2 linked regions of the Coturnix japonica genome follow. The protein of the gene in region 2 purifies or fractionates together with the protein of the main gene of each other region. This does not show direct contact. Links are inferred from orthologs where the notes say so. Each region holds a gene or a part of one and is shown on either strand. Other genes may lie near its edges.

What was found. Proteins that work in one complex are often made in the same cells at the same time.
Region 1: the proteins of NPLOC4 (region 2) and ASPSCR1 purify together in Homo sapiens (affinity purification with mass spectrometry; 3 studies listed by BioGRID and IntAct, with this or other methods). This does not show direct contact. The link is inferred for Coturnix japonica from reciprocal best matches to the Homo sapiens genes NPLOC4 and ASPSCR1.

The regions. Positions count from the first base shown.
Region 1 is NC_029533.1:4,396,091-4,400,473, forward strand, and holds the start of ASPSCR1 (tether containing UBX domain for GLUT4), read right to left. Parts: upstream 2,960-4,383; 5' UTR 2,925-2,959; coding exon 2,826-2,924; intron 2,738-2,825; coding exon 2,682-2,737; intron 1,925-2,681; coding exon 1,810-1,924; intron 1-1,809. UniProt on the Homo sapiens protein: Tethering protein that sequesters GLUT4-containing vesicles in the cytoplasm in the absence of insulin. Modulates the amount of GLUT4 that is available at the cell surface. Enhances VCP methylation catalyzed by VCPKMT.
Region 2 is NC_029533.1:5,200,437-5,204,153, reverse strand, and holds part of NPLOC4 (nuclear protein localization protein 4 homolog), read left to right. Parts: coding exon 1-27; intron 28-1,063; coding exon 1,064-1,243; intron 1,244-3,480; coding exon 3,481-3,529; intron 3,530-3,717. UniProt on the Homo sapiens protein: The ternary complex containing UFD1, VCP and NPLOC4 binds ubiquitinated proteins and is necessary for the export of misfolded proteins from the ER to the cytoplasm, where they are degraded by the proteasome.

The DNA of each region.
Region 1 (4,383 bases), about 800 kb from region 2:
GAAAAAAAGAACAGGTGTTTTCCAACCTGGAACGTGAACATCTACACTTATTAGCTCATGAAGCATCCTTCATACTCTATAGAAAATTTCTATTGGAAAATCAATAAATAAAGAACGATTCCAAAATGAATAAGCTGAGGAACAGCCCCAGAGAAAAGGCTTAACAGCCAAACAATCACATTATATACTGCAATTTCTTTGGAGGAGTGCATTTATCATCTGCTGCAGCTCCCACCAGCCCTTACAGGACTGCAGATCTTGATCTGCTGGAGATGGGAATTACGGTGGCATCACCAACAACCAGCCAACAGAAGGTAGTAGTTTCAGCCCACCATTAACACGACCTCCTGGTTTCTTCCATGCTGAAGACAAGCCTGAGATTACCCCCTCAGCTACAGAGTGATGACAGCTGACATCATTCTACCAGAATCTGGCCCTGAAATTCAGACTGCCAGTTGCATCAGTCTCTTGGGCAACAGTTCAAAGCTAAGTATGTCAAGAAAGTCACAGGCAGTCAATTGCAAAAGTCCTTTAAAAAATCCCAGTCCCAGAACAGCATCAGTTCAATCCCCAGAACCATCTAGTTGTTTCAAACTTCCTACTGAACGTGATGCTCTTTCTCAGAGACAAGGAATTCTTTTGGACAACTGTATTTACTCTTACAAAGTATTTTCTTATATTGTCCATAAAGTGAAGTGTCTGTTCTTAGTTTACAGGACAGCAGCTCTGATCAGACTGCACCATTTGCAAGTATGTTTGCTCTGCCTTCTCAGCTCCTTCGAACACCAACAAGCTCTCCAAGGGAACTCCTATTCCTGTGGATTATTTTGTTGAAATACAACTAAATAACAATTTTAATGACCTTTAACAAGGACCCCACCTTGTAAGTTTTACTGGTAACTGATAATGGTAACAATGGTTTTAATGGTAACTTTTAGTGATACTCAAAGCTATAAAACACACCCACAGCAAACGGGAGTGGAGATCCCAAAGTCTTCCAATAAAGCACTGTTCAAATTCCAATGTATGTATGAGTTTATTCATGTGACAGCCAAACTAACCACCTACAACATAAAACCACCGTCACAATTTGGCAGGCAGGCATTAAGAGAGCAACAGACCTGAAGATTTTCACTTAATCCGAGAAGCTCCTTATTAAGCACATCAGTAAAAGAAGAGATTACTTTAAGTGACAGACACATTCTCATTTCCAGACTGCTTAAATAAGATTTTACCACATAAAATGTTTATGCTCAGTAACACATATCCATTGAGTTGTGCCTCCAGCTGTTAGGATGACAAGCATATAAAGATTTAGGTCTCCTTGAAGATGACAATAACTCCTACAGAACAAAGCACCCATAAGCCTTTTGCTAGCAGTAAATAGGGGCATTAGGCCACTGCTAGACACTGCATGTCAGAGAAAGCTGTGTGAATACACCATGAATTCTGTACAAAACTGAGATTTTAGTTGAGACTCAGAGGCAAACTACAGTAACTGAAATAGAAACTGGGAAAGAAAACTCACTCAGCTTTTGAGCAAAGTCATCAGCGATCTTTAAGGTCGTATATATTTTTGACTGTTAAGTCTATCAGCTCTTCAAAAGAACCCCCTATTCCCTCCATGACCATATGGACTGTAAGCAAAGACTTCCAGCTACCAAACTGTTTTCCATCACACTTCCACTGTGGTCCTCCACTCAAGTACTGGGCAGCCTTTAACACACTCTTACTCATTAGATCTGACAGGATCGTATCCAGCAGGGCTGAAAATTGTACAAATCAGGTCACTATTTGTAATGAACGTACCGTGTTTCCAGTTCCCACTTTATTACAAGAGACTGGCACCATCTCCAGCTTGGCATTGTTGGGCAGTCTGGCAAATCTCCACTGTAAAGTGAGATCCAAAACATTTCTCTGAAACCTAAAGAAAAACACAGCAGGTGAAGATATCAGGGAACCATCACAGAGCACCATCACATCACTTCAGGGACGTAGCATCCAGGGCTGGAACAAGAGAACACTCCATGGGCAGGCTGTAAGGCATATAATGTGATGGTGCAGCATACTGAAAACTACAGTTTGTAGAAGTTACAGATAAAATCTTCAACATATGCTCTAATGAGAGCAATGTCAGAGAAACGCCAGCTGAATCGCACACAAGCTGAGCATTCAATGATAACTAACAAGGTATGTTACTGCTGTCAGAACACCAGGAAACAGAGGGGTCCTGCAGGGAACTACAGAAAGTGTATGAGGGGGAGAAGCAGGGGCATGTCGTTATGAAAGGATTTCAGTATCTGCCTCAAAACTGAATGGACTTTGTCACTGGAAAATCCACTGAGATTGATTTGAAGAAAATAACCTTCTGAAGGATCGTCAGAATTGTGCAACATGGGCCTCTCTCCCCAGTGCTAACTACGAACTGTATCCCCGTGTATTATCACACAACACCTGTATTTCTATGGCAGTAACACCAGCCCCAGGCTCAGCACACGGCTCCGGGACACCCAGCAGCCAGGCGGCTGCTCCCACCCGGCCTTCCCGGGCCCAGCAGGGCGGGCAGCTGGGGGCGTGAGGGCCGCGACACCGGGCGTTATGGTGCAGGGCCCAGCCCTGGGCCTAGGCCTCGGCCCGGCTCGGAGCTGAAGCGGCGCGGGCGACCCGGCGCAGGGACTCACTTGAGGCCGTACTCGGCGGGACTGCCGCCCTGCTTCCTGCAGACCTCCTCGAGGATCTGCCGAGAGAACGGAGACGTCACGGCCCGGCTCCGAGCCCAACTCCAAGCCCGGCCCCGCCGCGCACCGCCCCCGGCCCGGACCCACCTGGAGCAGCACCGTGCCGGGCCCCACCCGCACCGTGACCCGCCGCCCGCTGGGGGCCAACACCGACACCGCCGCACCCCCCCCGCCCGCCGCCGCCATCTTCCCTCCCGGGGAGGAGCCGCGCTGCGCCCGCCCCGCTCCGCCCCCGATGCCGGTACGAGCGGGGCCTGCTGCGGGTGCGGGGCGATATCTCAGCCGGTACAACGAGCTCGAAGGAAGCTCGGTGAGCAGAGCAGGGTTCCGGGCTCAGCTCTCTCTGGGCCCGGCAGCACCGCCATCCCCGTGGTTCCGAGCCGACGCTCCCAGCGGCTGCCCGTGAGACAGCGCGGAACAGACGGCGCCACGGCCGAACCTCCATCAGCGCTACGAGCCGATCCGATCAGATGATGCTCCGGGAGCCAGGATCCGTCACATCGCGTGCCCAGAGCGGCCAGAGCTTCCCCTCGCTCCCAGCACCGGCCCTGCTGTGCTGAACGCCCTCCCGAAGAGTCAGCTGCAGACGGGGCTCTGGTTGCTCCGGTCGTTAAGAAAGGGAGCCTGGGTTGGCCACTGGAATTCCTTTAGCTGAAGCTTTCCCCCGCTGCCTCCATCCAGCTCTGTTCTGCCCGGCTTATAAAAGAAAAGAGCCCTATTAAAGATAACACCCGGTCTTAAGCACGGCAAAGAAGGGAAGAAACGAGGCAGTGGGAAGTGACTGATGCAGACGTCTCCTGGCTGCTGAGCACAGCTCCCCAAATCCAACACCAGCACTGCTCCATAGGATGTGGTGACAGCAGTAAGGGATGTCGTAGTGTACAACACGTTGTTTAGTACTCAACAGTGTCTTTAATTCACTATTGTTCTCTCTGTTCTGTTGGGAAGGGCTGCTGTCACACCATGCCTACAAATGGGGCAACAAATACCACAGGGTGCTTGGGTGATAAGGGAGCAACCCAAGCATCACACACAAATCAAGGCACCCTGCCCTCCCATTGGCGAATGCCTTCACAGAAGGTATGAAGAAACAATTAAGATGGCTGTGTTAATGACAGCTGCTGAGATGGAGCAACCATTAAGTGTTAAAAGATACATTTCAGTTTTCATAGAGCCTGAAAACAGTTCCTGGATGGGGTGGGGGGGTGGCTCTTATTTAATGTCAGAAAAAGGCAGCTGGTTCCTATTTTGCATCTGAAAGTGACACAACCTGTACAGAAAAGTTGCTCCTGTTGAATAAGGGGTAAAAAACATGAATGTAATTCCAGCTGAGAATCTTCATGTTGCAGGAATAGGGATGGACGGAGCTTTTAATGGCAAGTCAGAGTTAGACACGGAGGTTAAGGGTCATGTTATGTATCTAGAGCCACTTCTCATCTTAAATATTCATCTCAAATGAGAAGCGCCAGGAGAGAAAGGAGGGGGAGGAAAAATCAACCTGGAGCTCATTAAAGTGCAACAAGGAAAGAGGGACTCATTAGGGAACAGCTGAAAATATCTTCAACAACGCAGATTTCTGCTGCTGTCGGGGTGAAGATGCCTGCAGTGCTACCAGTGAGTGCAGCAAAACAACCATTGCATTACC
Region 2 (3,717 bases):
CAAATCCCTCAACTTACTGAAAATCAAGTGAGTCCTGACAGAGAGTGCTGTGGGCGGAGGGGGAGCTTTGTACAACAGGGTGCCTTTTCTCTAAGCTTGTCTGAACTCTCCCCTCTGAGCTGAGCAGCAGCAGCCACCATCGCAGTACAGCAGACTCCAGCTTTCAGCTGTCACTTGCCAGCTGCTTGAAGAGACAATCTTGACTGACATTTAGAAATGGAGGTGGTCAAAGCAACTAGGTGTTAGGCTGTGGCAGCTGCTTCTTTGGTCACTTTTTGCATTGCAATTTGCTTGTTTGGATCAGCAACAGGCCTCATTTTTGCTCCCTCATCCCTGCTTGCACTCAAACTATACTTTTGCTTTTTTTTTTCCTCCTTGATTTAATGCCAGGGTCTGATAATCCCCTGCACAGAAGCCAGGTGCCTAGGGAGATCAGAAATGCCAAATGATTGATTCACTTTGCATTTGGTTGGAGTGTCTTCATTCTGTTAACATCAAGAATAATGTTAAACCGACTTAAAATACAAGAGCTGCTACCGTTGCGTGTAGCTTGTCACTTGATTGTATCAGCACTGGGAGCTGCCTTGGGAGGGCTGTGACTTGGTGTGCACAGGAACCATGTAAATCCCTTTCTCTGGTGGAGCTGTTGCTTCTTTCTGCTCTCTCTTCTTTTTCCTTGATCTTGTTTCCTGATAAAGATGCCAGAGAAGGAGATAGAGCCATGTTTGTTAGTCTGTTTGTAGGCTGTGATAAATCACACGCTCCTCCGTGATCCAGGAAGTTTGCTACCCAGAAATACTCGCTGAAGGAACATGGACACTAATGTGGTTTGTAACGAGCAGCAGATCTAGCACAGGCGTTTCCTGCACCCTTCAGCACAAAGGAGCCAGTTCCTTCAAGTGGTTAGGGTGAAGGTCTGGTGTAGTTCAGTTACTGGTGGAAGGGGGTGGTCTGATCCTTTCCAGCTGTCTGAGCAAGTCTTATCACCTGCGCTCCCACCCTGTTGTATCTGGAAGCAAAGCTTGTTCTGTGCTGATGCTTCTGTGTTTTTCCACCCCCACAGGCATGGCGACATGCTGTTTCTGTACCCATCGAGCCCAGCAGGCTCTTCCTCAGAGACCATGGACACCTCTGTCTCCCAGAGCTCGCGGCCGGTGGGGGCCCCCCAGGTGGTGGAAGATGACATCGACCAGTATCTGATCAAACAGGATGGGAAGATCTATCGAAATCGAGACCAGCAGCTGTAAGTACCAACAGGTGGCTCGCTGTCAGTGCATCTGTGCCTCACCAGACTGTCACATCTTGCCTGAAACCAAGAGCCAGGAAGTGTGCTATGGGAACTGCCGTCTGAGCCACTGCTTTATCCTTGCTGCCTTTGAAATATTCACGAGGGAAAACAGCCCTTGCCATTGTCCTGCAAGGTTAAAGTAAAGCTCTGGTGAGCTGAGGAAGGAAGCAGATACCAAAATTCCAGGGGCTTGGCCAGGAAGGACTCGTTCAGAGCATCTATTGTTTTGATCGAGGTGGCCCCTGTTGGGGGACCAGCAATCATTTATTTTGTGCTCTGAAACCAGCAGCTTCTGTTCCACATGGTGTCAGTGTGCAGCTCCCTGTTATCTGGGTTCCGAGGTGACAGGCTTGCAGAGCCAGGTCTGCATCTTGTGTTAGAGGTGTGAATAAGGAAATGCTTTCAGCCAGAGCTTCGGCCTCAGTGTGGCTCAGCCAGCAGCAGTGGGAAGCACAGTGTTGGGGTTTGGTTAATTGCAGACAGCTCCTCTGTCAGGGCTTTCACCTTTCCTGCTGCCCTGCAGGGGCAGCTGACAACAGCTGCATATGTCTTTGGTTGCAGCACTGAGGTGTGTGTGTGTGGCACATGGCCAGGGATGTCCCAGGCAGAAGCCCTTCTGTGTCTTTGGATCCCACCAATCCTCCTTATAAAGGAAAAATAAAATGAAGGGAATGAGTGGGAGCCACGTCCAAGGACAGAGACGTGGAATTTGGACTTGGGTCTCTGCCTCTGCTTGGTTTTTGGCTTCCTTTCCATCACATGCCTTTCTTAACCTTCCTGTGAAACCGTGGAGTCCATTTTGCTAACAGAAATGCAGCAAGGTTTAACTTTGCCAAAACTCTTAGCTGCAAGAGGCTTAGATAAACAAAACAGCTTGTATTTTTGTAAGGGTAATAATACAATGGTGACTTAATACCACCATAAATCTCCACTGATGCTGCTGAAATGTCCTCTGTCTGGATGGGTGTTTTTTGTGACTCATTGTTAACAGTGTCCCAGTTGGCTCCTGCATGGTGGTTGATTTGGGGCTAGGCCCCTCCACAAAGTAGCTTCTGAAAGGACTCAAGTGAAAATGTTAAAGTCAACCAGGAATTCTTTGTAAGACAGGATAGCTCACCCTTCCCCTTTGTATTGTCTTCCATATGGTTTATCTTCAACGCTGCAGCAGCAAGTAAGTTTGGAGAGATGAAGCCTTAAGGTAGAAAATCCTATCTAACCTTTTCAGACTGATGATAAATGAGGCAAGAGTCACATTATTGAAACAATAAAGGCAAAACCCACCACTGTGTGGCAAAAACATTGTCCTTAACTTAACCACGTTTTTCAAAAGAATAAATGAAGGTATTGTTCTTAGCAGGGAGCCAAAGCACAGCGGCGGATATTTATGATAAAATGTGTGTGTCTGGGCTTGTTCCTGTATTTGTGAGTGCATATCAATCTAAACATGAGGGGATGCTGGCGTTGGCTGAGTGCATTAGCAGCCTTTAGTGGTCCTTTATGTACATTATCTGCCACAATACTTTGCTAAAAGCACTGCTGCAACTGGATCCCATCCATTTCGTCTCCAGAAGAGCCAACATCCATGCTGCTCTCTAGAGGATCTCTTTGCAAAGCTAGCACTGACCTGTTCGTTGTGCTGGGGCAGAGGTGCACGGGGATTCTTTTGTATTTTCTTTTTAATCAGCCTCCTCAAAAGGAGATGTTTTCCCCTCTGCTTTGTAACTTCACCCAGCAGGTCCTTATCAGTCTGATAAACACATGCTTCCCTGCTTGTTCCAGACCATCCTCTAGTGACTGATAAAGGCTGGATGTTTTGGTTGTCTTTTTTGTTAAAACCACACAGGCCAACCCCGTGACGTAGGTTTAAAATCCTTTGGATTGAAATACAACCTCCAGGTGGGGTTGTAAAACTTGAGAAGCTGTGATCTGATGCTGGTTCACGTGGCTGTCCAGCGCAGAACAGCTTGCCAGTGACACAGACATGCGAAGAGTCTGATCTTAACCCAAGACTCTCACATTTAAACTCACACTACCGCTGTCTCTGTCATATGTCATAATAAGTCGAGAGTTGTTCAGGTTAAGATGGTTGCCCAGATCTTCTACGCTAAAACTGTTAAGCTGTAACAGTCTCCCTAGACTAACTTTTCTGTTATTGAATGAGTCTTGTTCTGATTCTGTTTCTCTTTGCATAGGTGTCGCCACGGCCCCTTGGGTAAATGTGTGCATTGTGTACCATTAGAGGTAAGAGCCCCAGGAACGTCTTACAGAAAATCACCATGGGAAGGCATGTCACCTGAAGCTCTTGGATTCAGTTTCTCCCAGTAGGAATGCTTCTCCTCGTAGTGTTGCCCATGTAGAGATGGCAGCTCTGAGTCAGAATCCTGCCATGCGCTTTCAGAGGTGCCAGCCTGTGTCCAGGCTACTTAAAA